Styela clava: one gene and its partners. The protein of the gene in region 3 binds, or shares a complex with, the protein of the main gene of each other region. Links are inferred from orthologs where the notes say so. Each region holds a gene or a part of one and is shown on either strand. Other genes may lie near its edges. The genes, in order: small nuclear ribonucleoprotein Sm D3-like, pre-mRNA-splicing factor CWC22 homolog, uncharacterized protein LOC120339308 and cysteine-rich PDZ-binding protein-like.

Region 1 (7,308 bases), on a different chromosome or scaffold from region 3:
CAAATATTGATGGCTTTTATAAGCAGCTGATAATGGGTTCTCTTTCCTTTTTCCTGAAAAGAAATTAAACACTAATCATCAATTGACAGTGCCAAGTTTGTGTATCAGATCAGTAATAGATTACCTGCTAACTAACGAAACAATCAGACAACACCTTCTGACCATTAATGAAGATTTCTTTTAATGTGAAACGCAAATATGCCTACCAATATCGGTAGTTTTTAGGAAAGGATTTATCATGGGGGGAGGATTGCAAGGTGCAACATCGTACGATTACCATTCTGTGTCGGGATTAGTTAGTCAGGTATTTGTTTTCAGAAGCATGGACTTGATGGTGGGGGATGTCGTAATTGACCAGCGGACGTGTGAACCACCTTCAGTGGGAGGAGAGCTGAAATCCTCTCGCACAAAACTATCCCCGCATGGGATTGAAACCTGTGAAACTACCAGGGTGGTCAGAGATGCGGTGGCGAGCGTATTTCTAGATAGCGAATTCAATTGAATTCTGGTTATTTTTTGCATGAGCACTGACTGGTGTTGAACTTTAGTTATCTATTCAACTTTTCACACTTACTAATAGATTACCTGCTAACCAGGGAAACAATACCTTATGGCAATTGATGATTTATTCCTTACACAAGTCAAGTCTGCAAGTAGGCCTACCAATAACAGTAGTTTGTCATCTTCTTCCCTTTGAAATGGGGAAGCTTATGAATATTTAAAGAAATTGATAACGGCACATTATCACTCACCACCAACGAAGTGCTGTCCGCAAACAGTGAAACACAAGCGAGATGACTTCTGAACTTGACACCAAGCAGTCCTGCCAATAGATGGTATCTTTTGAAAAAGTGGAATATAACTGAAGATCCATTTCGTTGTCTATACTATACATACAGCCAACGGTACAATACGAAATAACCATTTTCCACACCCAAACAAAACGGAAACGTATAATCCGACCTGCAACTGACAGGAGCCAACTGGACGTTTTTGTTTTTCTGCCGTCCAGTAAACAAAGTCACGTGACCCGTGCAAGTCCTCTATATAGCTCTGTGTTTTCAATGGACGTGTGCCCGAACCTTGACCCCTCAAAAATTCTCCCTGTATTTTGGAAGTGTTTTGGAGAGTTGGCGCTTACAAACTGGCTCACATGTTTGCAAACTATTTCTATTCAAAATCTTGAACCACGTGCCACTTACAGGCACTGATAGCTAATTTTAGGCTTGCCTATCTTAGCGTTTACGGTATCAATTTTTGATTATTGCAACTAAACTAAAGGTCCTCGGAGTATATCATGGCAATTAAGGTATCTGATGTACAGCTATTATTTGGAAACACAACTGAAAACTTACACGAAAACGAGGTAATGTTTACAACCATGCTTGAACAATTCTAAGCGAAAGAAGTGTCTCAGTGGCTGCAAATTGCAATTGTACGTCACTGTTAATTTATTTTCGATTGGTCACTTTCACGCAAATAAAAAAAAGAAATTGATTTTCATCCATACAGGCAGGGCCGAATCATATGGCCTTTTGGAAGCCATAAGCACTTAAAAATTTGTTGCCTTATATGTAAATGATAATAATAGGTATGTAACTAGTGGTGGTGGTGGTAACATTGGTGCCTTAAGCACGTGTTTATTTTGCTCAATGGTTTATTCAGCCTTGGCTACAACATCGCTGCATTATTATACACTCACAAATCTGTCAGCATAATAGAGGGCGCTCCGGAGGTATTCGTGCCAAGATGACGCACAACCTTAACAACCCTAACCTGGTACCCATACTATGTCCAGGTTGTGCGCCATCTTGGTACGAATACTCCGGGATCACCTAATAGAGCAGGACTATGTCACTATATAGAGTTAGTCTCGCGTTGTGAAACTAATACTTTCAGTAAAATCGAATATTGACAGTATTAGAGTTACAGTTAAATGCAATTTACACGTTTAGCGACTGACGCTTTTTAACAGTATTGAAGTTTCTGTGAAATGCTATTTATACGTTTAACAACTGACGCTTTGTAACAGTATTGAGTTATGGTGAAATGCTATTTAAACGTTTTACGACTGACGCTTTTTAACAGTATTGAAGTTACAATGAAAACTATTTATATAAAATAACAAGGGGGCGCAATGGGAATTAATTCCCAATTGTCGTGCGTGGACCACCACATTGAATTATCTGACAGAAGTAACTTTGTTCAATTCTTTTTATTGCAAAAGTATTCAAAAAAAAAAGTTTCTAGCTAGCCTATGTGGGCTCGATACCGGACCAATATTAACTGTTGGGTCGTCAGACCGATTCGAGTTATTTCATGATACTGCGGAGTCATAAAAATTCGACCATGGAAATTGAAATTTGTGTGGTGCTCCCTTTCCCTTGCTGCCCTAAGCACGTGCTCATTTTGCTTAATGGGTTATCCGGCCCTGCATCAACAGCGTCATCATGCAAACAAGAGAGCTATGCTCAAATATATGGACACGTAGCGCCACATAATTTTGATGACATCATAGCAAAAAATAAAAGTTATAGACTTCTGGAGAAAAATTCCATCTTTCACCACTGAAAATTTCAAAGCAATTGGTCCAGTAATCGAAGAGAAAAGCGGTTTCTTCAAAACGTGTCGATGAACAAGAACAACAACAACAAAACGATCGTTATGAGAAAGAGAGAGAGAGAGAGAGAGAGATTTATTGATTTGTCAACCGGAAAACAAACAATGGTATACAAATTAATATATACAATATACACAAAGTTAATTTGGTATAGACTGGGAGAGCGATACGACCATAAGGTCATCGGAGTCAGCTACCCCCCAAGTTCACTATTAAGATTCACAGTTAAACGAATGTCCACTAAACGTGTCCAATAATGAAGACGCTTCAAAACGTGATCATTAGCCAATGAAAAGGATTCATTATTTTATCACCCACAGATAATAAAGTCGATGAGCGGCTGGCCAGCCCGATTTTTCTTTATTTTCAAGAAAGTTTTGCAAATTAAATTCTTTTTGCCTTTCACATTCTGTGGATTGTATATGGATGGGAGCCAAACAGTGACGCAATTTAAAATTTAGAAAAAATTCCGATTCTATTTTGTACCAAACTCACTAACAACAGCTTCGCTCATTTCGGATAGTGAATGTATCTCAAGGTTTAAGAATGGGTTCGCTTACTATCACGACATTCTAAGAATGCGTCGCTTGAACCCCCTGAATCCCACAACTTGATATCATTAAAATTGTTTCGAAATTATAAAAAAATTGTTATTGACTTGGGCCAAGTTTACAATTTTGATCAAATTTTGCCAATTCAAGATATCTTTCTATGAAGGTTTCATATTTATATATTTTTTGTGCTCAAATTATCAAAGATCGCATGTAAAACAAGAGGCCAGCAACACATCCAAATAATCTTTCATTGAGATTTTTGGAATCATAACTTCACAATGGTTTGTGATCAAACGCCTTCCATCTGATCTGGCTTTTATTCCTACCAAAAAAAAAAAAAGAGTTTGATATATAATTGCTATTTTTCCGTCGATAAATCGGAATCACGACAATAATGAGTAAATTAGAATTGAAGACTGTTGAAGAACTATAGGAAAATTTCTCCACATGAGAAGCTGAACGGTAAAACGTCAGTTTCAAAAAATAAACTTGCACACTTTTTCCAGACGATAACAAATAAAATGTAGGCTATTGGATCAATTATTTTTTAGATTTAATTCAAAACAATAAAAAAAAACAAATTTTATCCAGATTAATCGCTTGTACTTTTTGGGAATGTCCACAAGTTTAAGATTATGTGACCATTTTACGTTATATATATATTTCCATTGTTATTGAGAATCATAAACTCTACGATAGTGCGTTGGAAATGCTCAAGCAGGCTACCATCTCTTTGAGGCACTTTTCTTTCGTACAATTTTGTACTCACGCAATTGCTCACTTGTTGAATTCAAAATCTCTATCGACGGTAGAAAGTAATATGACGTTTGAATTTCAAGACAGCGTTATAGATCATGTTGATTGTGTATCTATAGTTACTTTTAGTGTTCGTGTTGAGTGAGACCATCTGTATTTGAATCTGAATTCTCTTATAGTTTATTTTTAAAAATATGTGCTTGATATGGAAGTTTCTTAAGTAAACCTGCTGTTATTAAATGATAGTTTTAATTTCAATACGTTATGGACTACGTTATCGGGTTATAAACAGTGCCGGCATTGAAATATCAGCAGACACTTTTTTTCTCAGACTGCAGGACATAGCGATTTTCGAGAAGAAGTTTTTCCGCATAATGATGTTTATCAACCCCCTTTTTATGACCCGTTGCAATCGAATAGCATCCTATACCTATTACTGTGCTCGAAATTGTTTCAATTGACTACATGCGATAAGGAAACTCAGAACAAAAATGTAACAATATTTAACGAGAATATCGGTCAGAGACCGAAGACTTATCGATCGAAAGTTAGGGGATCCCCCAAAACAGCGCTCCTATTCCACACTGACACCTTGTGTCCCATCACTAATTAATTAATAACTCGCTAATTATACGACCTAATTCTTCCAAAATCAATAGGCTTCTGATCCGAGATATGATGAATGCATATGCAAAATTTGGAGCGGATTCATCCTCGCTTTCGTGAGATATCGCGTGTATCTAACAGACAAACAAACAAACAAACAAACAAACAGACAAAATACCTATCAACATACTTACCGATCTTAAGATCGATAAGTAATAATAACGTATGGTTAACGTAACTAAAATAAAATGTAAACGACATGTCAATGAACACGGAATGAAATAAACAAAGTGGTTGTCGAAATTTAGTTTCTAATTTAAATTAAAATTTCAAAACGATCCATTTTTCCTTTTTGTCTAATAAGGCTGTTTAAGCAATGACCGGCAATGACCTAATAATATCGTCATTTAGGTCATTCGTTCGAATATTTTTCACAGTTCCGATGAGGCAACGAGACGCGGACGCGGGAAAAAGGCTTTCCTTCGGTGTTGCTTTTGCGCATTGTCTAGTTGTGACCTCGCCGTGTTAGTTTCAATTTTTATCTCGCTGAATACAATTGTTTGGCACATAATTTCATTAAAAATGTCTATTGGAGTTCCAATCAAAGTACTTCATGAGGCGGAGGGCCATATTATCACATGTGAAACCGCGAATGGAGAAGTTTATCGTGGAAAACTCATAGAAGCTGAGGATAACATGAATAGTCAAATGACAGATGTAACTGTTACTTATAGAGACGGTAGAACAGCACAGTTGCAGAATATTTACATCCGCGGAAGTCAAGTTAGGTTTATGATTTTGCCTGATATGCTTAAAAATGCTCCGATGCTGAAGCAACAACGCGGTGGTTCTGCCGGAAGAGGAAAAGCGGCTATTTTGAAAGCTCAAGTTCGCGGCCGCGGAAGAGGCGGATTCAGCAGAGGAGGCGGTGGTTTCAGGGGCCGTGGTGGATTTGATTCTGCCAGCTTCCGTGGACGTCACTAATCCTTGGATAGAGTTGAAAAAAGTTATTGGCCCAAGTCTTTTAGATTTTGTTGGAGCTGCTCCCACCGCCTTTCAATCTAAGCTTCTGCTATCCACAGATCCATGCTTACTGTCTGTGATTTATTCATTTCTGGTAGGCAGCTGATGTATTATATCATTCCATTATGTAGTTCTGGCTTGTGGTAAATTATTGATTGTTTTTAGTGTGACTGGATGATATTAATATCTATACTTATGTCCATTTTGGCATGATTATTTTATAATGATCCAGAAAATGTGTAAATTTCAATTTTTGAAGTTTGGAATGATAGTCTACCAAATCTTAAAATATTAGGTAATACTCAATTTCGATTATATTTCTGTTATTATGTACATCATCTTGAGATCCCAATATTGGGAGTGATGCATATGATTTTACATGTTTGTCTTGCATAATATTTGAATTATTTTTCATTCGTTTTGGTTTCTTTTACAACATCTGCCTGCCTGTATGTAAAGGCAGACAGGTGTTGCAATTTTTGGTCTCCAAGTTTTATTCAACCTGGGACAATTTCTTTTAGCATTGCTCGAATGTGATTACTGTTATATCAATGTCTACGAACCAGAGCGAATTTTAACACAAGTTGAATTTGAATAATATTATTCTTGATCTGTGCATTATATTTCTTGTGATGTTAATTTGCTGCTATTAGCTTCATTATTTCAGTCTGCTAAAGTCGGCATTATGTCTGTATGTTGTTGGTACCTTTTTTTGATGCCACTTTGGTATGTAATCCCAATGTCTGATCTTAGAGATTTTTGAATTATCCTAACCCTAACCCAGTGATGACAGACTTGGGATTAGAAACTGAATTCTATGCGAATTTCTTTATGAGATTAAGTAGTTTTATGATTCGAAATCGCATACCAAAGTGGCATCCTTTTTTCAATCATGATAGGCTAACGATACGTTGATTTTGTTTAGTGTGGATCTGGGAATATAACTTTGTCAGATTTTGGTTCAAGATTTAAATGGGTCCAATTTCTTTTTATAACAGATTTGAGTTCTTTTGGTATTGTGGTCTTGACATAATGATGGAAACTGTGCCTCCGACTCCCACAGCTGAGGAACGAAAAGTAGTTCAGGAATTTGGTGATTTATTGGAAGCTTCTAAAAATCTTTTCAATGGACTCCGGTAATTGAAATTCAACATTTTCAATAAACATTTTCAAGCATATCAAATACAAAAATCAGGATTTTCTGCAAAATCCTTTGTGACAGTTTTTCCAGATTGAAAATTTTGTGGTTTGAACACTTGTAAGGATAATATATATGAACGATTATTTAGAATACTACTTGACAATTCGTCTTTCCGAAACTGCAGTTGAAACGTAAGGGTAGAATCGTACACATTTAGAATCCATAACCCCAATATCCTGATTGATTGATCTTGTCACACTTGACCAGATAATTAAAGGATATGGTATGTATTTGTTGGTAATATTTTGTTCTTGCATTTCAGAGATCTACCTCAATATGGGCAAAGACAATGGCAACCATATTTTGCCAGAACTTTTGAGACATATACAAAGTTGTGGAAATTTCAACAAGAAAACAGGTTTATATTAATTCATTCTATGCTAATTTTGAATCCTTATTCTTGCTGTCTCAACCAGGGTGACCTAAACTACATAGACTATGCAGAAGATTTCTGGGCGGGGGGTGTTCTGAAAACTCCGTAGCTCTTTTTGTATTAGTGTCTTTCCAGACCAAACGTGTGAAAAATCGTTATAATATTACAGACTGTT
Region 2 (8,542 bases), on a different chromosome or scaffold from region 3:
ACGTATTTCGCGACATCTTGGCGTCGAGTAATCACACTTCTCCCATTTTTGGCCCCGATTCATCGCGAATGCGCTCCGATCGCTTTTCCGAAGACGAGGGTGGCTTGGTTTATTACGCAATTTCTCTCCCGCCGTCATATTGAGACATCTTGGCTCCGAGTATTCACACTTTTTGCTTTTTCGGCTCCGATTCATCGCGAATGCACTCCATCAAATCTGGCAAAATCAAAAATTGGCACACGTGCTTTTTCTGTTCTGGGTCATATTCCTGATTATTATGACCATTTATATAAAACGTTATGCATATTTCCTTTGTTTAAACCAGAAAACAGTCAAGAGCAGTATAATATTCCAGTAAGAGTAAGATATGAACTTGTTGCGACCCTGCAGGTGGTCACGAGACGCGCAAAAAAAACATGGGCGGCAGAGATCTTTTCCAATATTTTGAGCAGACATAGTAGGATTTTGATCCTGGTACCAACTTGCCAGTCAAAAAGAAAAATCTTGATTAAAATTGTGATTCTACTTTACAGTCCAGATTTAAGAAAGAATCACTGTCACAATTTTGGATAAACATTTTCATCACTAGCTTCAATTAAAACGAAGCAACGAAATCGGCTACTCGCCTCTGCAGAGCTACGTGTTGCAGAAACTTCTTTGAGGCCTCGTTTGCAATCTAATATTGGAAACGAAACAGCAGCAAAATTCTCACTAGAGTTAATTGTGTTTATACATTATTTGGCATGTACATGTTTTTTATGTGAGATGTTTTATGCGTGCCTTTCTTACGCATAATGGGTGCCCAGTACTGCATTTTATTACGAAAATAGATGGTATTACATTATGTTTCACCCATTTCAATTTTTAGCCGGCACATTGTTTGATAGTTTTTCGTGGTGTGAAATGTTTTTAAGTGTTCTTTTTTTGTCTAGAAGCATATTGAATGCCCGACATTGCATTATATTGTCTGTTCCGGTCATTACAATTTTTTGCCGGTCCGCGAGTACATTTAATTTAATTTTATCGGTCCGCCAGGATAGAAAGGTCGAGAACTGGTATAGTTACCGTTCTCAAATCGCCCAGTATTTTACTTGTAAGCGGAGACGTAGCCTGAGAGGTGGGATGTCCCTTGCGAAAACCAAATTGTTGATGATAGAAAAAACTCTTTTGCTCTAAAAAGTTAACTAGTCTATTGTACCAAAATCTTTGAAAAAGATGGCAGTAGGCTGATCGGTCTATAGTTTTTGACATTTTTCATGTCTCCGCCTTTATGAAGTGGTACTACTTTAGCGATTTTAAATTCATCAAAACATTGTCCCGATTGCAAAGAAAGATTAAAAATATGAGCCGGAGATAACATGCAAATCCATGGCATTGCTCTGATAACTTTAATTGGGATTCCATCAAGCTCACATCTGGTGTTAGGTCTAAAAGCTCGAACGATAGCTTGTATTTCAATGGCTGTTACGGGTGATAAAAACATTAATACTTGAGGTGCTCGATTTACTCATGTAACTCATGAAGTTACCGTCAGTATCATTACAGAATTTCTCAGCCATTCGCTTTCCTATCGTAGAAAAATGTTTATTAAAATGATCAGCTATAGACACGGGATCACACGTTTCAATATTTCCTACAACAAATACTTTTGACAGTTTAAATTTGCATTGACCTAGCAGGGTATTCATCGTTTGCCACGACTTTTTCAGATCGCTTTTAGTTTTATTCAGAACCGATCTGTAGTAAAATTCTTCTGGGACAGTATCATTTTTTAATAGGTTTTCTTAATTTCCAAGTACTTAATCCTGGAACATTGCGATTTCTCGATAAGAGATAATTTGTAACGTTTCTGTTTGTTCTTATGAAGTTTGTTAATTCTTTATCAAACCACTTCTTGTTAGTTTTTTTAGTCGAAATCGGAGGAAAACAGCGATCAAAAACTGGCATAACATGACAAGAGAAGTTTTTGAAGGCATTGCTCGGGTCCGATTCTTCATACACCCCAGAGAGATCGATACATTCTAACGCCGTTTTAAAATTGGCCATATTGTTCGGACTAAATGATCGAGAAAAACTGTTTTCCTCGTGTTTAAATGTTTTTTGCTCTATCGGCATACACTGCATTACAGGTGAATGATCAGAGATGGCATCGGTTAGAATACCGCTGACAGGTTTTCGATCGTATATGTTTGTCCATATACGATCAAGAATTGTTGCGCTATTTTCAGTTATTCTGGTCGGTTTGGCAACAGTGGGATAAAAGGAATATTGGTTCATTAGCTCAGTCAGTTCGTTGACAAAATGGTGCGATGTGTCCATCAGATCATAATTAAGATCACTCATTAGTATACTTTGTCTTGAAAGTGAGGGCGAAACAATGTTGAGGTGGCTAAAAAATTTCTTATTTCTGGAGTTATCGGACAGCGGCGATTGGTAAATAGTACCGCAAGTTACAATTCGGTCTTTAAGATTAATGTCAATGAATAACGATTCAAACGTTTTCTCCTCCATCATGGACAATTCCGGTCTGGTTTTAAAGGTAATACCATCTCTAATATACAAGCCCACACCACCACCCGGTTGCTTCTTGCATTTGAAACGAATCTGTAATCTCGTAAATTTATATGAGCGCCAACTTGGTCAGGTTTAGGCCAAGTTTCATTAACCGAAATTATATCGGGTCGACTTGTGATTGAATCTAACAAAACTTCCAGTTTAGCAAAATTTTTTGGGTTAGTGAGCGAACGCATACGTACTTGCGCACATTTCGCTTTGAGCTTGGGCGAATCTCTTCAATATCGTTTGCACTTATATATTGACTTTTTTTTCAATTAAGCACGTGCGACTACTTCAATTAATTTGATTAATTAACTAATTCATTAGCTTTTCCGAAGTTATTGCCGAAATTATTTAAGTGTAACGTGCACTGTGTATAACGCGCTGCACACTTAAATGCTGAAATGCAGTAAATGGTTATATCACATTTTGATTGAAAATTGGTGTAACTTTTACTTTATATTTATGGAATAGTCCTATGGAATTATAGGCTAGTATTGTAAATCAGTAATTGGAGCAGTGGGAACATTTTGGTCAGGTTCGTCTATTCTTAAACGTCGGGCTATCCTACCCAAATCGACTAAGATAGTCACTTTGATCCTACCGTCCTAATTATTAAACCAGTTACCGGTACTGTAGAATAGGATAGGATTTACATATTTATCCCGGGCGAGAGGAAAGCCGATAAGCAGCTTATCCATATGGCGAACCACCCATATCAGCATATGGCCTCTCGTCAGGTTGGTCAGGTTACCATTTCAAGTCTGGTACCGGTACCGTATGGGATTAGTTATATTGTTTGTTTTCGGAGGCATGGACTTGGTGGTGGAGGAAGACGTAACCGACCAGCGGTTACGTGAACCACCCAATGACGGCGAGGAGTCCAGCAATCCTCTCGCACATAACCATCCCTGCATGGGATTCGAACCTGCGAACCCACGCAGAGTAGAATACCGGTACGGTAACTGCTGAAATCTTATTATCCTGTTATCGGAATTACTGAAACATTAGCAAATTCAGATATGGCTTAACTCATCCACCTGAGCTGTCTGGCTGCGGACTCTATTTCCTAAATGTGACTAAATCTTGGACAGAAATACCGGTACTGGAAATAACAATAAGACGGTTCCTTTTATTACAGAATTACCGGAACGGGGTGGAAAATCTACATGGACCTTTAGATGTCTTGCAAATGCCATTTCATATACCTCCATGTAATTTTTGTATTCAATCGGCAAACTTGGGGGGGGGGGCAGTGGTAAAAATAATTTTCCCCAATTACCGGAACGTACCGGTACTCTAAATTGCAGGAACGGAGTGGAAAACCCACATAAACCTACTGGAACGGACCTTTAGATGCTTTGCAAATGCCATTTCATATACTTCCATGCAATTTTTATAATGAATCGGCAAACTTGGGGGGGGGGGCAGTGGTAAAAATAATTTTCTGTAATTACCGGAACGGAGTGGAAAACCTACCGGAACGGACCTTTAGAGGTCTTGCAAATGTCATTTCATATACTTCCTTGCAATTTTTATATTAAATCGGCAACCTTGGGGGGGACAGTGGTAATGACATTATCATTTTTGTATCGTTCGCGGGCCACAATAGTGCCAAGAATAGGTAATTAGTGCAATACTAAACAAACACTTTATTGTCCAAACACATTGATCATTATTTGTCATTTATCAAGCTAACATATGCTAAAACTACCAAATAAAGCTAAATATAACTTGCAAAAATCTTACTGTAAATACATTTAGTGCAGTAGTGTAAGATTTCAAATTCCTCATCTTGGAAAAAGTGCCATAAGGAAAAAATACTGTTTTAGATTGTCACTGATACAACTTGCAGACATATTATTAGGCAAGCATTGTGATATTTTATCTGCCATATCCAGTCAAAAATCTGTTAGTCAACTTTCTTTTCAAACTCATGTTTAAAAATTACCTTATAAATGACTGAGATTAATTGATTACCGAATTTCACCAAATTTGAGATACAGGAGGATAATTACTATATTTTCTGACATATTGGCAGCATTTTTTGTAACACTGTTTAGGCTGGTTGCAAAAAGAAACACCCGGCGGGAATTATATTGTTCGGCCATTACATTAATATTTAGTTATCAGGCATACCCAACCTATAGGCTGATAGATTTCCATTGGATTTTTAGTTTACTATGAAGAATATTCTGTTAGCATAATATTCCCGACCAAAAAGATAGAAAGCCAGCTAACAATTTAGACTAGCAAAGCACATTATTCCTTCGCTAGTTGCCTCAGCTAACCATGACACTAGTCAATTCATTGACATTAGTGATGTAACAATATGTCAAAAGATTTTTCTAGTTATTTTTATGAAGAAACAATGCCAAATGCGATTTTTGTTCACTCTTGCGCAAATGCGATGCGGGCCACAGATAGTGAAGCGGCGGGCCAGGGTTTGGACCTCCCTGGACTAGAGTCTAGCATAAATTCATACAGTAATATCAGAATACGCGCAAATCTACCAGATTAATGTCCCTCAATGTCTGTTTGTTTGATTTGAGTGTTGTCATATTTGGTGGTGTCTGGGGTGGGAATTTAATATAAAATTTACGCATAATGTACATATCTAGTCTATCAAATCTGCAAATGTATCTATATCTTTATTTGCACATAGACTAGCTTCAGAGCTCAGTAGTGTATAAATTTTCAGTTCAAAACATGAGTAAAGCTAGACATCTGGAAGAAGGTGAAATAATAGAGGAGAAAAATGAAAAGAATAAAGGAGAACCTCCAGAGAAGAAGAGCAAAATTGACAAAGAATCCATGATTTCTACAAAAACTGGAGGAGCATATATTCCTCCGGCTCGTTTACGAATGATGCAACAGCAGATTACTGATAAGAGCAGGTTTGAAACAGTAAAATATTATGACCATATTATTCGAATTGATGCTATGGTTAGCACTTGTGGCATTTCAAGTTCGAATTCCAGCCACTGAATTGCCCAGAAATATATGGTGATTAATTGGTATGAGTACTTTAACATTTATGTAAGCTTCGGACTTCAAACAGGCACTTCTATCCCAATTCCCAACTATTTATATTCTATTGGTATGCTCTTCTGCCTATAAAATTTTTGTTTTTGATATACCTGTGTGATGTACTAACGGTGAAATATATCTTATATACCCATGCCCACTCCCACACCATGTTGAGAGCACCTTATCTTCATTTTTGGCGTGCTGAGTGGAAGTTCAAATATTTTCAAAATTTTGTTATTTTCTCTTACACAATGCTGAAAGTGTTACACAGCGTTCCAATATGCCAGGGTGATCCAAACCCAGGCTTCGTTATCTATGGCCCGCGCTGCCATTGCGGGAGGGTAAACAAAAAATCTAACAAAACAAAATTTGGTGTTGTTTCGTCATAAAAATAACCATAAAATAATTCCTGTTGGGTGGTTTTCCGCAATCAGCCTAATTAGTATTACAAAAAATGCTGCCTATATGTCAGAAAATTTAGTAATTACCCTCCTGTATCTCAAATTTGGTAAAATTCGGTATTCAATCAATCTGCAGTTATTTATAAGTTGAACTCTTTTGGCCCGCGAACACATCAAATATAATAGTGTGCCCTGCGAGGCCACCAACCTTGGACCACCCTGCTATATGCGCTTTGAAGCATTTATTATTAAATTAATGGAATTTCTCTGTTGACAGCAAAATGATGACTTAATAATAATACTGAATTTTTCAATATTTTGTAGCGAGCAATATCAGAGAATAAGTTGGGAAGCTCTGAAGAAGAGTATCAACGGTTTGATCAATAAAGTGAACACGTCAAATATATCAAGCATTGTCAGAGAGTTATTTCAAGAAAATATAGTTCGTGGAAGGTAAAATGTGCCACTGTGTGTCGGGTTCTTTATTTAGATAAACTGTTATATCTAATGCCAATAGTCCAATACTATGAAATTTTAGATGCATCTATATTATTGTCAATATATTCGTCATGTTATGATATTGCTCATTATGTCTTTTTGATCACAATTGCAAATTTTTAAAAGCATTTCCAAATAATGTGGTCAAGATTGTTGTCGAATTAAAAACTTTTAACATGTTTTTCAGGGGAGTGTTGGCCCAATCTATATTGCAAGCTCAAAATGCTTCTCCAACCTTTACAAAAGTATATGCTGCTCTCGTTGCAATCATCAACACTCGTTTTCCACAAAATGGAGAGTTAATATTAAGAAGACTTGCCTTGCAATTCCGTCGGTCTTATAAAAGAAATAGAAAGGTAGCTAGCCGAAGTCCGTAAATTTATCTCCTGTGAAGATAGTGTTGAATAAACTTTTTTTTTACAATTAATTTACAATAGGCCTAAATAATATTAATTTTGTGTTAGTCAAGTTGTCACAGCTGACTCGTAATATTCGAGTCTTCCTAATAAATTACTATAGTGAGAGACACTATAGTGAGGTTTTTATAAAGCAAAAAGGGACAATAATAATATTTTGAAAAATTGCCATCATTTTAAATCAATGCTTAATGTAAATGTCGGGGTTTGTGAATGCCATGAAAGGTCATGATTAGTTTTGAATCAAATTTATTTTACTGTGAGTGGCTGATCAGATCATTTTATTACTTTACCAACTGAGATTCTAAATTGAAGAGATTGATATTTTTTCTTACCTGACTTCATGTCATTATTTTTTAGGAAGTATGCCTCCACTCTGCACAATTCATTGCCCATTTGATGAACCAGCAAGTTGCACATGAGATTATTGGACTTCAAATTTTAACTCTATTGCTTGAAAACCCGACAGATGATTCTGTGGAGGTATGTGATTGTGGTTTGGTTAATTCGTGAATGTATGATAAATAAATAAAATGGCATGTTTTAAACTCGTTTATCTCAAACTAAAGTATTTTTAGTGAAAATCTTTCTCTTGAATTTTCTCAGGTTGCAATTGGATTCTTAAAAGAGTGTGGCCAAAAATTATTAGAGGTATCACCCCGTGGTCTTGCAGCAGTCATGGAACGTTTACGTACAATATTACATGAACAAGAGCTTGACAAGAGAGTGCAATACATGATTGAAGTAACTAATTATAATTTACTGTCATAAGTTCATTGATTGCAGATATTTCTCAAATCTCATTTACATCTGATACATTTATTTATTTTTCTAATATTGAAGACTATATTATGAAGTAGCAAATCGCATCAAACAGACTTATACGTTTTGATCTGATATAGGATAGAAATCAAAAGATATTGTCAAAGCAACATTATATGTTTTCAAATTCAATCCTAAATCATGCTAATCCATGCTAAAATTTACGGTGCAAAAAATTCTTACATTTCAATTTTCTACTTCCACTCTGCTACTCTTATTTGTCAATCATTTTATGTCATCTAATTTAATTTTCACATTTGTTTCGGAGATCTTGAGTCAAGAATAAATTTGTTCAAGCCAGTGACAGCCAATATATCACGAGTTCTCGGTCATAACTGATATGAGTATCAATGTAGAGAATTCAAATTCAAAATGAATTGAAAAATCCAGGGCACTGAATTTTAAATTGATATTACCTTTTCTTTTTAATCAGGTGATGTTTGCTATTCGAAAAGATGGATTCAAGGAACATATTTCTGTTGAAGAAGATCTTGATCTAGTAGAAGAAACTGATCAATTCACACACATGTTACAACTCGATGATGATGGTGGAGGGAAAGGAACGGAAAATGAACTGAATGTGTTTCATATGGATCCTGATTTTATACAAAATGAAGAAAATTATAAGCAGATTAAAAAAGGTTGTTGTTTTTATCTACTAGGAATGCACAGGCACTTCTGTTCCAAGATTTTTGAAGTCGTCAATATTTGGGAAAGGGTTTTTATAAGAATTTATAATTGAGCATGTATGATAATATCCCTCTTTTTTATTCAGTACCCCTATTTCAAATTTCATTATTATTGCTTTGTTTGATAAAA
Region 3 (8,124 bases):
GTTTTTCTTTTTTTCTCTTTATCCTTTTTCTCCGAAGCCTTTATTAAGGCAGCTATCTTTTCCGCTTCAGCCTGTTGAATGATGAAGCCAAAATATTAGTTAGCCAAAGCATCAGAAGTTATGCATATAGTGCACACAGCATTTAAACTAATTGCCCTTTTCAGGACTAAGGCACACAATATTTGAGAAGTATTAGATAAAAACCACCCCTTAATTTTACAAGAACATAACATGGTTTTTGCCGGGATTAGCCTCGCATAATCATATCTATAATATATTGTTCAGGAAAACAATTATGTTTTAAGCCAGCCTTCTTGATGCCTGATCCAATCCAAGATTAGCACCTCGATCTTATTACACATCAAATTAATTAGGAGTAAATTAGTTGTTTTAATAGTCGTATACGAGAGGTTCGAGATATTGTCCTATTTAATATTCACATACCTGGCGAAGTTTTATCTCTTCTTTCTTTTGTTCCATAAAAGACAAAGGGATACCAGTAGCACTTTCTTGTGCTGATGTAAGAAGCGGCCACAATTGTCCAAGGAAAAGTCTAGAATTCTTGGCGTTCAAAAATCCAGTGAGATTTATTTGAAGATTCTTTGGGTCAGGATACTAATACAAACAAAAAATAAACATGAACTATATAGATAACCATTCTAATAAAAAATCAGCATGTGTAGAACTGTACATATGGCATACTTTGTAACTAATAAGACAATGTTCAGACCCAATTTTCTAACCATTTTAATAAAAAATCAGCATGTGCAGAAATGTACATATGGCATACTTTGTAACTAATAAGACAATGTTCAGACCCAATTTTCTGGGGTCGGTGCATTAATACTTTCCGATCAGAAAATATTGTGAAAGAACAATAGCACGCCTTCCCATCAGTTTTCGTTAATCGCCGTTCATACAGTGAATCTGTAATATCTCTGCAGTGAATATTTGCATTTGTGTGTGCATCACTAGCAAAAGCCTTTACCGATACTGTCCTCATAAAAATAATGTTATTAAAATTTGAAAACAAAGAGATATTCCTAATCTTTCATTTGATTAGGTTCTTGACAAACATACCGCCAATATAATCATCCTTTATGAGGCGATTAGGATATGTATCTCATGACTATCATGCAAAACTTGATTTTGTTTCGGCTCAATCTGGACGTGTCACAATTAGGGATGGGCAATATAGAATACCGAATCCGGAGGATTCAAAGCCCAAAGTATTCAAATCCAGCAGGATCCGATAACAAAATTCGGTTTCCGCCTCTCCAGCGTCTGCTCGCAATAAACCCGTGAAATCGGTAAACATCAGACACTGTAATCTCAATCGGCATATTCAAGACACGAAGTCGGCGAAGTACACCTCACGGCAAAGACTCGTTATTGCACCATTTTTGCGTTTTTCTGCTTTGCTATCTAGCTAGCGTATACTATTATTAATTATTTGTGCCGACTTACTGGCGATATTCCGATAATCTGATTGCAACAATCTTTATTTGGATACAGACGTGCCTTGCTTCATTTTATATTAAATGATTTTTTGCGACCTGCGAGTTTTCTCAAAAAATAATGCATGTGAACCAGAACCAAAAGCGTTGAATGTTATAACATTACTTGCGATTAATTTACATCAAATATCATTTACGAATAATTTTATTACATCCTTTTTTCAAAATACAAAGTTATATCGCAAAACGAGAAAATCTGTCACATTTGAATTTCACTCTCAAAAGATTACATATTTTTCGGTCAGTTTCTATCGTTCAAGATAGACGCACATTTGATCGGGTGTTTGTAGTATTTTAGTCGCCAATAAATTTAAAAAAAGTTGTCGCATCTGGCAGAGATAGTGACGTATTGAGTCTTTGGATGTTATTACCTAATAACTAAGTACGAAATCGTGTTTACAAAAACTTGGTTCCACGAGTCTTGCTCGCACAGAATTAAAAGTTGATTTTAATTGATAGCGCTTCAATTTAATATTTTACAATGGGTGCATAGGTTGCAGTGGCAACAAGCTGGTCCTGCTTATATGTAATTCTCAGTGGGTATGTTGTAGTACACTCGGCAGACCTAACATTAATAATGATTTAACGATGTTTCATATCTATTTTTGTATTTAACTGCTTACTATTAAAGTGTTCAAAGCGTGCCTTGATTTAGAATATCAGTATTTAGGGATAACATACATTTGGAACAATTGGAAGGCAAAATATATTGTAATATTCATAAAATTTATTGTCCTGGGAAATGCCTGTTTAATATCAAATGAAATCAAATGTCCAAATGAATAATACATTTATAGTAATACATTTAAAATTTTTTAACATCAAAATCTAGCAATGTGGAAATTCCCACTCTTTGAATAAGTATGAAAATAGATTAGGATTCGGTATTCTAGATTCGATTTAACTATTCTATAATAGTAAATTATCCTACATTGCCCATCTCTAGTCACAATGCTGAAAAATATATGTAAGGAAAGAGAATTTCAAAAAAATGAAATGAATTTTACTCAAATAAATAAAAACTTTCATACTCTTTCCTCCAGGTGATTAAAAACATATTCAATGACGACATCATCTTCAAAGCCAAGCATTTCAGTAATTGTCTTCGTAATCCAAGGTTTAATTGTTTCCACATTGATCTTGTTCATATCAATCTGAATGAAACATGGCTGATCTCAACTTTAAAAACAAAAACGCTAGAAACACGGTGAACTACAATAAATTTACATTTGATGAAAATATATAAATACATCCTGATACAATACTGCAATAGTTAAGTATTTTAACCATGTAATACTTATAAAAAATGAATGAAATATTATCCTACAGAAATAATAACAGCAAATATGCCTCAATATTTAAGAATTCGATTCGAAGGTTATTGAAAGTGCCAATCCAGCAATCCCTATAAAAAAAAATGAAATGTTACCTTGCTCTCCAAACCGTCTGCAAATTTCATCGATTTCAACAATTTTTTTTGCTTGTTGGCAAAACGATTATCTTGCTCGGCACTGGTGCCCTAAAGAAATGAAATGTGAAAGCTAAAATATCCAATCTATAATTTGACTAATTTAATCCTATTTATAATTTGTGCAAGCTTATAATACGAATACCAATTATAACAAAGTAGGAAACAGATGCTTTGAATTTTGCGGATTCAATATTCTAAATTGACCATCCCCAATTATGTTAATAATCTTATGTAATAACTTAACCTATAAGTTAAAACATATCTAAGAAAGTAGATCCGATCTTATAAATCAAAAAATAGAGAACCAACTAACGTAAATGTGAAAAACAGTGAAATGAGTGAGAATGACCAAATGCAGAAAGCTGAGGTTGAAAATGAGATAGTTCAATTGAAACTCAACATTTTAGATTTATTTAACGATGAAATGATTGAGGCTTACCCTGAAAAATCCTGCATCCATTTTTTTCACTTTACGCCTATTGCTAGTGACCAAAATGTATTACCTTGAGGATCAAATTTTAGAATTAGATTTTGGTCAATTCATCAGTCAAATCAAAATTTTAAAATTATTAATCGCAAATATGTCAAAAATAATTTAGTTTGATTAAATTGAGCATTGAAAATTTGTTGTTTTTGGATTGAATATTACAGTAACCTACGGCGCAGCCGTCACATTAAGAGATATCAATGATAAGACCAAAATTACTCCAGCCCACATTCAGCCTGACGTCAAGGGGTTAACCAACTATTTTACTGACTTTATAACTGTTATTACATAAAAACTTGGTGACTCTGACAACATAGAGACCATATCTGATATACACAACGCAAATACAATACCAAGCACGGCCCAGTTACCCCTAGTATGGCCTGACAAAAACGAGTGTGGGCTAGCTTCACACGAGTGTCAGAGTGTAGGCTAGCGTCACACGAGTGTGTGCTGGCATCCCGCGAGTTTGGGCTAGCGTCAAACGACAGAACGAGAGTGGGCTGACCTGACGTTCTGACAATGTTTCACCGTAAGTCAAGGCATCCTAAACGTTCACAGATTACTAAATTACATATATCCATGTTTAACTCAGCGCCAGAACCTCTCAAAGTCCGGCAATTGATGGCACAGCCACAATTTGGGTGAGCGAACACGTACTAGATCTACTTCTTTTATCAATACCTTTCCATCTAAAATCTGTACGTTTCAAACCTTACTCGAGGTTTTGTTCGCTCTCCCGATTCTATAATCAGTTACTTTTATTTTTATCTATTATTATCGTCTATTGCTGATTATGGAGTCGAAATAAACTTATACTTATATAATTGCCGGGAAAATGAATCAAAATCAGCTGAACAATAATATCTCTTATCCCTTATGCCAGGTATGTAGGTAAACAAGCATGAATTCACAGGACTGCAGGAGGGTTTCACAACATGAAAATTTAAATCTAAGCGAATATCAAACCTATTCATTTCCATCAATAAAATTGAGGTATGAACAAATCGAATCTGATTTGCACAAATACATCTTTTAAAATAAAGATTGAACAAGCAAATTGAGTAACATTTATCCAAAGAGATACATTGTCTTGATGGCTTTGAAGTCTGATTTCGGCACTTCTAATACTCTGTACACCATGAAATTGACTTATTACATTATATATCTAATTATCCAACAAATAACGAAAAGTTCTACCAGGGAAAAAAACGGAATCTACCTATGTCTAACGATAATCCTATTTCACGATAATAGCAGAGCCATTATATAATGACTCTGATAATAGTATTTTATGTCAAAATGCGGCAGGGAATTGAAACTTTTATATTATTTTGTACATCACGCAATTTGCCTTTTATATTATATAGTGAATTATCTTACAAATTCTGAAAAATTCTACCGGGGGGGGGGGGGAGACTTTAAAATAAAACCGGAATCTACCTATGTCTAACGATGATCCTAATTCCCGATAATGGTATTTTATGACAAAATGCAACAGGGAATTGAAACTTTTCTATTAATTTGTACATCACGAAATTTGCCTATTATATTATATAGTGAATTATCTTACAAATACTGAAACATAAAAAATTTTACCGAGGGGGAAGACTTTAAAATAAAACCGGAATCTACCTATGTCTAACGATAATCATATTTCCCGATAATAGTATTTTATGACAAAACGCAACAAGAAATTGAAACTTTTCTATTAATTTGTCTGTTGGTGTCACGTACGTAGACCAAATTCCTGTCTCGCCTTCTCCGGCAGCCATTTCCAGCCAGTAGGCACGTGATAAACCATCCGAGGTAAATACTTCATTAGTTGACTGATGGGTGTATTACTTAACTATTTGGAATCCTGACAAATGAGTTGGCCATCGTTGTATTAACATCTTAGGGCTCGGATTTTTCTGTTATTCCTTCATTTTTTTAAGCCAAATACTCCCGTATTATCTGCTAGGATTGTGAAAGGAATCGCGTATGGAATAGATTGCCACTTGTCCACCGACTCCTTTGTGCGTTAATCCCCTTCGTGCAGGGGTCATATGCTCTGGCTGCTGGGGTGATTATAGTGCGCTATAGGATAAACGTTTTCGAATGGTGATTCCTTCCCCTCTTTTGTTTGAAATATGACAGCACCAAACCCGTTCTCTAAAGCATCCGTTACGACATACAATAGAAGCTTTTGGTCTACATCATGTAATATTTTCGTGTTATTTAGTTGGCGTCGTGCGATTTTGTAGTCTTCAAGTAATTCTTTAGTCCATACTACTGGCGTGCCTCTGCTTCTTGTGGTAGGTACGTTTCCTGTTAGGGCGTCAAACTTCGCTAGTTTCCGATTGAGTTCCGGAATATGATCTGCTATATACCTCAAAGCACCGATCCATCCTCTGAGTTTGTATATATTTCGCGCCGGTGGTAGTTCTTTCATCATCTTCAGTCTTTCCGGTTGAACCTCTATTTCTTCCCCACTCAAGGTGGCGCCTAGCAGGTTGATCTTGATCTAGCAGGTTCTTTTCCAATAAAACACTTATTGATGCTTAAAGATCGATTTCATTTTGTTAATTGTTCGAAGGTCATTTAGAGTAACGTTAGGTGGTCCTCGACTGTTTTAGTGCTCAGGAAGATGTCGTCTATGTATGCTTCTATCAGCGACGCTTTTTGCTCCTCCAATCACTTTTTGTTAGTCACGTGTTCCCGATACGTCGCTGTTATGGGTTTCACCACACACTCTTGCATGTTAGCCGACCATAACGCAACGGCAGTTTTGAGTCCCATTGGAATATTGCACCAACGTATGTGTACCCCTTTCACTGTTATTCCAAGAAAGGTTCTAAATGCTTCGGTCATATCACAATGAAAATAGGCTTTCTTGAGGTCGAGTAGCGTGAGTACTTCTCCTCCTTGTGTCATTTGCTTTATATCGGGTATTAAGGAAGGCGGTAAATCGATTGGCTCTATCGTCGCATTTTATTTTTGACGGACCTCCATCCTATGCCGTATCAATTTCTGTGCCTAACCAACGAGGAAGGATCATGTTTCCTTTGACGGAATAAAACTCATAAAAGTCTGATTCAATACATATTGAAGTTATAATACTGGTAGACCAATGGCAATTTGATGAGATTATAATCTATTTGCTACCTTATATCCGGACTGCCGGTACTAATTGAACACATGGACCTAATTTAATTTGTGTACATAACTACACTGTCACACAATTAGGTAAATTTTATTTCATGCCTCTTCCTTGCTGCAACGATAACACCCTCAAATGACCTGAGGAATTTTGTGACGCGTTCCACGACCACAGCAACACGATCGAACCAAGCATAAAATTTACCATAGAAAAAGAAGTCAATGGGACAATAGCCTTCTTAGATGTCCAGATACAGAGTGAAGGAAATGGAGAATTGACGACTGATATATTTAGGAAAAAGACCCATACTAATCGCTACCTCAATTTTAACTCTAGCCACCCGCTTAACCATAACGTTCAGTGGTTAGTAGTCTTATGAATCGTGCCAAAACTCTTATATCGGATGAAACAAAGCAGAAACAAGAAATAAATTTCATTAAGAAGACTTTACGACAAAATGGATATCCAACGAAAATGTTCAGAAATCATGTAAATCTCCAAAAACCGCCTGATAAACCCATACCAATCGCATCTACCACCATTCCGTATGTCCAAGGACTAAGTGAAAAAATTCGAAGAATTTTGGAAGACGTTAAAATCAGAGTAAGTTTTAAACCCCAACACACTATCGGCCAATTGCTCTCCAACGTCAAAGACCGCCCATGCCCTAAACAAAAAAAACGGAGTTGTATATACAATCCCATGCAGCGATTGTTCTTCAGTCTACATTGGAGAAACCAAAAAGAAGCCTGGAAACTCGCAGCAAGGAACATCTACGAGATATTAAACAAAAGAAAATTGACAAGTGGGCCCTTTCGAAACACGCCCTTTCTAATAACCATAGCATCGACTGGGAAAACAGCAGGATACTAGAAAAAGAAACTCAATACAGGAGAAGACTATTTCTCGAATCTTATCACATAAATAAAGAGAAGAATTCGATGAATGACAAAGAAACCACACTTTTCCCGCCTGTGTATAAATCATTGTTTAAATAGTCCCCTTTTTGTTTGAACTTGCGCTAGTTTGTTTATTGGACACGTAGTGGACATAACGATCGTTTCAATATTATGTTGTTGTTGTTGTTCTTGTTCTTTGACACGTTTTTAAAAAGACGCTTTTCTTTTCGAATACTGGACCAATTGCTTTGAAATTTTCAGTGGTTAAAGATTAATTTTTTCGCTAGAAGGCTATTACTTTTATTTATTTCAAAATTTTGCGTGAATTCTATGAAATTTGATATTTCGTCTAAAATTTTGCTGTATTATTTTTTATCCATGGGAACACGGATTTTAGTCAGTGTCATGACTGGCTGTACGTTTTGATTCTGCAAAATTCTTGCTACTGGAATTTCAGAACTTTTTTGAGGGTACCGGTAGCGTCAAAGGTACCGGTAAGGACTGATTCGCTCTGGTCTGACGTGTCCATATATTTGTGCGTAGCTCTCTTGTTTATACATATTATCTTATCATCATCCTTTTAGATTAGAGTTGACGCCACGATAATT
Region 4 (8,808 bases), on a different chromosome or scaffold from region 3:
AGTTGATGAAACTTAGATCTCATGAACAGAGAGACTATCTTAAAAAAAAACATTCATTGGAACTTTTGTAAAATTAAGCTCATTTAAAACTGTTTTCATGCTGGGCATTTTTTTCTGTTTTCTTTAACCATCCCTGATTGATGATTTACAACAATTTCTTTCCTATATTTGTTTAGTAATTTAGTAGGTAATGGTTCTGAGAAGGTAAACAAATGCAGTAATCAGTAGCAACAGCAGTCTGATAAAAATTGGAGGCTAGATAACCATTGTCATCAAGATTCAGAAGCAGGAATATTTTTCATCGTAAAAATAAGCTCACAAAAAATGTCAAAAACGTTGTAAAAGGGAATTATTGACGTTCTTCAATGATAAGTTGCCTCTACAATAACATAATAAAGGGGCCCTAAGTCCAATAAAATTGTTTCTAGTCCAGAAAACTGAGAGCCAAAAAGGGTTAAGTCCAAAAAACTCCCAAAAAAAAAAATTTGGGGGGGAGCACAAATTTTTTTATACCATTAAAATATGGCCTTCATTGTAACTTTGGTGGACCATAAAAACTAGACATCCTTGATGTAAGGTATTAGAGAAATATAAAAAAGAAACAAAAAAAAAACGTTTTTTGCGTTTTTCTCAAAACTAGAAAAATGGACTTAGCCCAATTTGGATTTCATGCGTCGATATAGGGTGTCCATAAAACACTTTTATAATTCCAATTTTGTGATGAAGTCAGTTCTCAATATATCTTCACCAGGTTTGTTGTGTTTTAATCAGTAATTGTTCAAGTATTTTTACTTCATTTAATACAGCTGTGAGGAACAAAACAATATATGGTATATCCTAGAATCTACTATTAATAATAGGTGTTGGAGAAGAATGTTTGAAGTTTGACCTCCAAGAATATTATAAAAGACTCAAGTCAGGGATGTCCAAAGAAAATCGAATATTCGAATAAATTTAAGGTTTATAAATGAAGTTTCACAGCATAACCTAGAAGGCATCTATTTGAATGGAAATTGCAAAAATCAATCAAATCATTGTTTATATTTGCATTGGGTTGCGCGAGACTAACTTCCTATCTTTCTTCTATGCCTTTATGCTAGTGGATCCGTATGCGTATATTTCAAGGATGCTATAGCTGGAATAAACATGACTATTCTATCCAATTAATGCGTCTTGCTGCACACTTACACAAATGTATTTCTGTAACCTTCGTCCGACCAAACTCAGACATCCTCAGACAAGCAGTTTACAACAATTGATTGTTGTTACAGAAATACATTTGTGTTAGTGTGCAGCTGGACTCTTCAGTTAGATAAAATTGTTTATATGCCTGCATTTTCAAATTTCAATTCATTGAAAATATGTAGGCTACTATCGATTTTACCGGTTCTGCCAGACCGGCTACTTATCCTTCTTTTATGCTTTTGTGCTGGCGGATCCGTATGCATATAATGCAAATATGTTGTAGCAAGAGGGAAGATGACTATCCTAAGTGGTTCAAGAGGGTTGCCCCTTACCATAAGTTGGAAGAGGGGAATGGGAATTACCTTACCTTGACAAAAATTAGAGCCAACTTGATGAACTTGTAATTTGCATATCCGACATTTTTTAAACTTTCCGCTGCTGTACGGATTGTATCGATTCTTCGTCCCAGTCAAAGCTTTGTTTTCATTGATCTTACGTCCCCCCTCTGTGAAATAGGATAGGATTTACATATTTATCCCGGGGGAGAGGAAAGCCGATAAGACGGCTTATCCATATGGCAAACCACGGCCTCTCGTCCGGTTACCATTCCAAGTCAGGTATGTGATTAGTTATATTGTTTGTTTTCGGAGGCATGGACTTGGTGGTGGAGGAAGTCGTAACCGACCGACCAGCGGTTACGTGAACCACCCAACGACAGCGAGGAGTCCAGCAATCCGCTCGCACATAACCATCCCTGCATGAGATTCGAACCTGCGAACCCACGTAGAGTAATTAGAGGTGCAGTGGCGAGCGTATTCCTAACGCTTAGCCCGTTGAGCCACACCGTCGAGCCTGAAAATACTTTATTTGCCCATCTCTGTAGAAAAAACAACATCCTCCATAAACTGTACGTTGGGCGCTCTGGAAGTATGCAAACCAAGATGACGCACAACCTGAACCTTAACCTGGTACATATACTAATTTCAGGTTGTGCGCCATCTTGGTAGACATATGTCGAGTGCACCGTATATTCATACTATGTAGACCAGTGGTTCCCAAGGTTTCTTATTATATTTCTTCCATGGCCTATTTTGCATCTGTATTGCAATTCACAACAATACTAAATAAGTAAACAACACGAGAATATCGGTCAGAGACCGAAGACTCATCGATCGAAAGTTAGAGGATCCCCCAAAACAGCGCTCTTACTCCACAGTGACACCTTGTGTCTCATCACTAATTAATTAATAACTCGCTAAATATACGACATAATTCATCCAAAATCAATAGGCTTTGATCCGAGATATGAATGCATATGCAAAATTTGGAGCGGATTCATCCTTGCTTTCGTGAGATATCGCGTGTATCTAACAGACAAACAAAACAAACAGACAAATACCTATCAACATACTTACCGATCTTAAGATCGATAAGTAATAAGTTAAGCTACACCAAATACAAAGTATTTATGTACCCCCTAAACAACAAAATTTTTTACCGGTTAGCAAAGGTTGCCACTTGTCATCTAAATTCCTATGCTAAACCCCTAAAATTTGCTACGCTATAGCAATCCTGGGTGATGCGATGGTTTAACGAACAAAACGACAGATTAACTGCATCGACACTGCAGGTCGAACATCTCTGGTTCCCTCGCCCACGCCCCACACCCAGTGTCTGATAAATTGGGTAGGTAATGACAAAGCGGAAATATCCTGGTCCTTCCAAATAAATAGTAGCCTTTACACAGTAATGGCTGCTTGTATTAGACCATGTTCAGGTCAAAAGACGTCTTATAAAAACATTCCTACCGTTTGTATTCTTGGCTCCAGTTTTCCATGGATCAGGTGTCGCCACTGTTCCCAGTTTTTTCTGACCTGTGAATAGAATATACCAAGTTTAACCACGACGGTTAATTTCAAAGGAATCTGAGAAGAATGGTAATCCTTTCTCAAGATTGTTTCAGATTAGTTGCAAGAAGAAGAAGCTATTTATGTTGACGTTCCCTGTTCGATAAGAAATTTTTCTCTAAGAAAAAATTTTGCAGTTCTTGGAGAGGAATTTTGTTCTCCATGTAGTGTCACTTATTTTTTTAGCATAGGATAGGATTTAGATATTCATATCAGCAGAGAGAAAAGCTGATAAGACGACTTGATCATATGGCGAACCCCGACCTCTCGTTCGTTTACCAGTCTGTGTCGGGTATGGTATCTGTTTTCAGAAGCACGGGCTTGATGTGCAATTTGCTATACCAACACTGCGTTGGCAAAACAGTCTTATTACTTTCACCAGATGAGACAATCTCGCCATTGAAAACAATAATAAAATACTTACATTTATCGCAAACCATTGCTGTCCAGTCGTTCAATCTATTCTGTCCAGGAAAATTGTCCCCTAAGTAAGACAGCAGATAATATTGAAGAATTCAAAAGTATTAACTAGAGTAGTTAAGATTAAAATCTAAAAAAAAGAAACAAGAAATAATTTAAAAAACGAAATCCAAAGATCATGAGTCTATAACAATGTGACCAAAATATTCTAAAACCCTTGCTGGACTGGTAACCAGTGCTATGGACTGAAGAGTCAAGACAATATTTATCAGAGATTACAAGTAACCCAACTCATCTAAAAGAAATCAGTGATTGATTCGACTTGGATGACTCAACCTGACGCACATGTTTAGGCATATGTATATTCATAATAATTCAACTATACGGCTTCGGCCGCATTCGTGCGCTCCCCTCTCCCAGCCCGCGAATATCCTTCCGCTTCGTTCAATCAACTTTGGAGCGCTTGGGAGACTTCTACCTAACTATTAGTCAGACCCCTATATCAACACTTTGCACGTTTCATATGTCATTTCACACATTGCACTTTGAACAATACTCAATAACAATATAAAGGGGTCACTGATTCGTAAAATAACTAAAATTTTTAGAAAGACCAGAATAAGTGAATTTGGCATCCAATGAAAAATAAATGGCTGAGTTATTTAAAAATAGGGCAATTTCATTGGAAGTTAATCATCGGACGAATTTGAGTACAATTTTAAAAAATGTGATGCAATAATACCATGAATGCCATAATACAAAACCATGACAACATAATACAAATCAAAGGATGAAAAAGAGTCCATATCTCCCCCCAGGAAAAAATTGAAAATAGCAAATATGGGGGAAAACCCTAATCATTGAGATTCACTTTTTTCATCTACCGTCTTGTCTACTAACAAGGCCCTATACATTGAAATCTTTTTTTCTGTGTGCGTTAAATAACGTAATTTAACTTTCTGTTTTCCTGGAGTCGGTGTCACGGTACGGAATGTGTCCTCATCCTCACTAGACTCCCCGTCGGAATAATATTCCTCAAAAAGTGCGTTGGTGCCAAACGTTTCTGTCGGTTCACCCATAAAAATAAGTTCATCCAATTGTAGAAACATTTTTCCATTTTCATCAAATAATCCGATAAGTTTCACTCGATCTTTATCACATTTTTTGAGATAATTTTTACGCGCGACTCCATGCAATTCGATTAAACAATTGTCTTCTTCGACTAATTCCCATTCATCAGGGTTGAAGTCTTCTCTGGGAAATGGTTTCTTCTTCCTGTGACCTTTCACCTCAGAGTCAGAGGTCAAGTCCATCTCATCTGTTCCTTCTGCCGTATTATCACCTTTCACATCAGGGTCAGAGGTCGTGCCATTTCCATCTGACCCTTCTGCCATTGAAGAGTCTGTTATTTGGTCCATATTTCAAGATTTATGTTAAATTATAAATCTGAAATAATAAAACAATTAAAAACATTTATTCATTAATTAAAAGAAAGTAACCATAATATATAAATTAATAGGCCACAAGAACGATATTTAGACTTGATAGATAAAGGTACAAACAAACTGTTCGTACCGCTGATTTATGCTCGGGAGGATCGCTGGGCTCCACACTGCTAACTAGCATGTTTGAAAAGGAACGCTGTGTGCTGCCTAAGTGTTTGTATTTGGTGGTAACTGACTTAGATGATCGCGAATGGTCTTTTCGTTACCTACCAGTCATCAACCGAAAACTTTCGATTCTCTTATTTTATTATTATTTATATTTCTGTTCTCTAGTTTGATAAAAAATATGACTTCGCTCTCTCTCTCTTTCCACATTTAGTTGAAGGCCCAAAACTCTGTTTCGAGCAAACGTGCATACTAAGGACAAACAGTTGATGGCAAAAACATACAAAAGATTTCAAACGTCAAGAAGAGTTCAAAAAAATATGAAACATTCAAAATGACTCAACAGATCTGGAATAAAGAATAAATTACAGAAAAATATTAATCTAAAAAACTAATCCAAAAAGATGGAACCATAATTTTCCAATCACGATGAATACCCAAATCATTTTGTATTAAGTAAAAGTCAAAGTGAGAAAAGAATATTGCTTACATATATGGACATAGAAATTCTATACTCAAACTGCATAATCTCAATTGTTTGAACAAGGATGGATATATACCGTCCCAATCGACGTTTGAATTGCCTCCGTCACAGAGAGCCATTGATTGCTATATATTATATAGACAGCAGGTTAGGAATAGGGATAGATATATTGTCCCAACGACCATAGAGGGCTATTGGGCTGCCATAGAGACAGCAAGTTATGAACAGGGAAGGATACCAGTATGTGGTCCAAATTACCATTTAAATGGTTCTCCTTAGAGGGCTGTTGATTTACCATAGAGACAGCAGGGTAGAAATAAGGACGGATATAAGGTTCCACACAAGCTAATCAAGTGCAATGTTTTAAAAAATCCACTTCATTGCTCAAGTTCAACTTAATACAACGCTGTGGTTAACTTTGCCTGAATTCCCTGCCCTAGTAGTTTTTGTCTACGATTAGGTGAGCAAAAATATACGACATGCTATGTCCCAAACAGAAATAACTGATTAATAAGAAACAAATGACTCATTTCTTCAACGGGAAATGCTGTTCACAAAGCGTCTCAAATTTCCACTGTAATTTTTTAAAAACTGATTCGTTGTTCTATAACAGAGGTAGTTTTTAAGCTTTAATGTAAAGACTTGTCTTTTAAAAAGGTTTATTCCTTATTATTTCTTCAATTCAACTTTATACCAGGTTGTCTAGGACTCGGATCTAAAGTGAGTATGGATCCGAATTTGAAATGCTGAATAATCGGAAATTTCTGAAGTATTTCCGCCTTGTACATCTTCAATAGGCCGGAGTTGACTTTCCCCCAATGCGGGACGCCACTAATCCCCCAGAGAGTGTTTGAATGCTCAGCGAAAGGTCCCGTTTTTACGGACATGATATAATCAATGCATTCCATGAACATGTATTCTGATCGGTTTTCAGCGACAATTTTCGATTCTACAAAATGAACAGGTAGAATCGTGGGGTGACTGAAAAACTGCGACGACCCCCATATAAAGGGTAAAAATTGGAAATCATCTAACCCCCATACCCCTTGACTCCCTGCTGGCTCCATTCTGTAAGTCTTTTGCAACTTCCGAGCGACGTGTAAGTAACGATTAAAGACGTGAAAAACGGCCGCAAGTTTATCTTTTTCCCCCAGGATTTGGAGCTTAAAAAAACAACAAAGAAAACAAGCAAATGACATTTCGTGACCAGTTCCGTAATCAATTCTTGTGGAATTTCCGAAACCCCCGTGTAAATACTCCACAATTTCAGAAGCAGCTCTTTTTAAATTATCAGGCAAAAGGTCAGAGGTCAATTTTTCACCTTCTTCTTTTAACTTTTCATACCAAGTACGAAAAGCCTTGTTCCCGAATCTTTGCGGCTGGTCTATCGACGGCGTTTCATCAATCCATTTATCCAATAAATCCAAAAGTGCGACAATTTTTTTCGTCGTTTCAGACACTTCGCATGGAGCACTAAGCTTTTTACCTTTTATAGCTGCATTTAGCATCATTATAAATCCTAAATAGTCTTCATACCCGCTTGATTTTGTCCAAATTGCCATGTCCAAAACAGTTTTGATTTGCGTAAATGGAACTACAAATTTATGATCTTTAAATGGGTCATTTTCATCTGCTGTATCTTGATTTGCACCCCCACTTTCGCTTGTAGAGACTTCAACTTTTTCCTCTGCAACCTCTGGTTTAGTTTCTTCACAAATTTTCGGACTCTTGGATCCCTCTGCTGGCTCAGAATTTGCTTTATTATCGTCAGACATTATATCAGTTATTTTTAGATATTTGTTCTAATTAAGAATAAAAATTCTGGAAAAATAATTAAAATTCAATTGATTGATTGCATAATCAAAAATCAATTCATCAAAAATGAAGAAATAATTATCTTAAATCTACAACAAATTTTTTACGAGTTTGGCTCGACCTTTAGTAATGAAGATCATCTTTTTGGCTATTTGCAGGTTCTAATCAAGATTTAAAAGATAGGGCAAATGAAGAAATGTTTAGACCAGGGGTCGGGAACCTTTTTGGTCAAGAGAGCCATAAAATATACATATTTTCAATTGCATTTCCGTGCGAGCCATATAACATTTCTTCACTTGATCAGGCCTAAAATGTTTACTCAAAAGTCAACACATACAATGTCAATATACATTTAATGTGATTTCTGATGCTGCATGTAGTCGCTGCGGGCCTTGAACGGTTGCTCACATGCAGCCCAAGTTGAAATCTACGATTCTCATCACCCTTTTTCGTTTAGGCATCTCCGTAGTGTTTTTAAAACTCTATCGCTTTGTGATGTCACAATATATGTTCCAGAATCCCCTTGTTTGTCACAATGCCTGTCTGGCGATTATCTCACATAACATAGACATGTGCTGGGCGCGCGTTCTCAAACGTTTTGGGAATTTCCTGCCAAAATTGGCTATAAAAGAGTTTGAAATCTTGTAACAATAGTAAGCTTAGTCTTAGAATATTAGATTTTTCTGGGAGCCATATGCCGTCACCAAAAGAGCCATATATGGCTCGCGAGCCATGGGTTCCCGACCCCTGGTTTAGACCAATCAATCGGTACCCCCCGTAGTGTATGTGCCAGGTTAGGATTAGGCCTTAATTTTATTCCGATTTCCTTATTTTAGTTCTATTACAAGTTCAGCGACTGTCTGTGTTAGCCGAGTGCATAGGTTTCAGTCCTTTTACACAACTTGATGTGAAATAGGCGAACAATCTTAGTTACCTTCATATTGGTACACACACTTCTGGAGCGCCAATCAATCATCATAAACTTGTCAACAAAACGCACACTAATCATAAAAAAGGCAAATACCAAAAACCGATAATTACGCACACACAATTTTTTCTTACCAAAATTGGATTTTCTCATCTGTTAGGAGTCAAAATATTTACAGCCCGGAGTAAGGGGTCGCTCAGTACCCGACATGGAACTGGTAACTGGACGGAGGCCGTGATTCGCCATAGGATTAAGTCGTTTAATAGGCTTTTCTCAGTGCCCAGGATAAATATGAACTCCTATCCTATTCAAATTGACCAAAATCAGTCAAGTTAGTATTGTTATAGATTCAAATAGATGATCACTGAAGACATTGAAAAGAAAAAATAAAGCATTATTCATGGAAACTTGCTCAAGCAAAAAAAACGGATACTCACTCAGAAGTAAAGAAAACTCATC

The links.
Region 1: uncharacterized protein LOC120339308 (region 3) and small nuclear ribonucleoprotein Sm D3-like share a complex: the UniProt entries of both Homo sapiens proteins name them as parts of the minor spliceosome. The link is inferred for Styela clava from reciprocal best matches to the Homo sapiens genes SRRM1 and SNRPD3.
Region 2: uncharacterized protein LOC120339308 (region 3) and pre-mRNA-splicing factor CWC22 homolog share a complex: the UniProt entries of both Homo sapiens proteins name them as parts of the minor spliceosome. The link is inferred for Styela clava from reciprocal best matches to the Homo sapiens genes SRRM1 and CWC22.
Region 4: uncharacterized protein LOC120339308 (region 3) and cysteine-rich PDZ-binding protein-like share a complex: the UniProt entries of both Homo sapiens proteins name them as parts of the minor spliceosome. The link is inferred for Styela clava from reciprocal best matches to the Homo sapiens genes SRRM1 and CRIPT.

What each region holds. Positions count from the first base shown.
Region 1 is NC_135254.1:11,360,557-11,367,864, reverse strand, and holds small nuclear ribonucleoprotein Sm D3-like, read left to right. Parts: upstream 1-4,992; 5' UTR 4,993-5,118; coding exon 5,119-5,520; 3' UTR 5,521-6,531; downstream 6,532-7,308. Other genes in the region: protein SCAI-like, read left to right, coding at 6,532-6,695, 7,023-7,118. UniProt on the Homo sapiens protein: Plays a role in pre-mRNA splicing as a core component of the spliceosomal U1, U2, U4 and U5 small nuclear ribonucleoproteins (snRNPs), the building blocks of the spliceosome.
Region 2 is NC_135257.1:819,679-828,220, reverse strand, and holds the start of pre-mRNA-splicing factor CWC22 homolog, read left to right. Parts: upstream 1-5,204; 5' UTR 5,205-5,265; coding exon 5,266-5,453; intron 5,454-6,311; coding exon 6,312-6,440; intron 6,441-6,672; coding exon 6,673-6,841; intron 6,842-7,261; coding exon 7,262-7,384; intron 7,385-7,507; coding exon 7,508-7,645; intron 7,646-8,156; coding exon 8,157-8,364; intron 8,365-8,542. UniProt on the Homo sapiens protein: Required for pre-mRNA splicing as component of the spliceosome. As a component of the minor spliceosome, involved in the splicing of U12-type introns in pre-mRNAs. Promotes exon-junction complex (EJC) assembly.
Region 3 is NC_135250.1:14,829,505-14,837,628, forward strand, and holds the start of uncharacterized protein LOC120339308, read right to left. Parts: upstream 3,492-8,124; 5' UTR 3,449-3,491; coding exon 3,428-3,448; intron 3,037-3,427; coding exon 2,947-3,036; intron 2,672-2,946; coding exon 2,549-2,671; intron 616-2,548; coding exon 445-615; intron 72-444; coding exon 1-71. UniProt on the Homo sapiens protein: Part of pre- and post-splicing multiprotein mRNP complexes. As a component of the minor spliceosome, involved in the splicing of U12-type introns in pre-mRNAs. Involved in numerous pre-mRNA processing events.
Region 4 is NC_135255.1:21,668,392-21,677,199, reverse strand, and holds the start of cysteine-rich PDZ-binding protein-like, read right to left. Parts: upstream 3,655-8,808; 5' UTR 3,533-3,654; coding exon 3,517-3,532; intron 3,060-3,516; coding exon 2,994-3,059; intron 1,691-2,993; coding exon 1,553-1,690; intron 1-1,552. Other genes in the region: general transcription factor 3C polypeptide 6-like, read right to left, coding at 4,370-4,930; serine/threonine-protein phosphatase 2A activator-like, read right to left, coding at 6,284-7,381. UniProt on the Homo sapiens protein: As a component of the minor spliceosome, involved in the splicing of U12-type introns in pre-mRNAs. Involved in the cytoskeletal anchoring of DLG4 in excitatory synapses.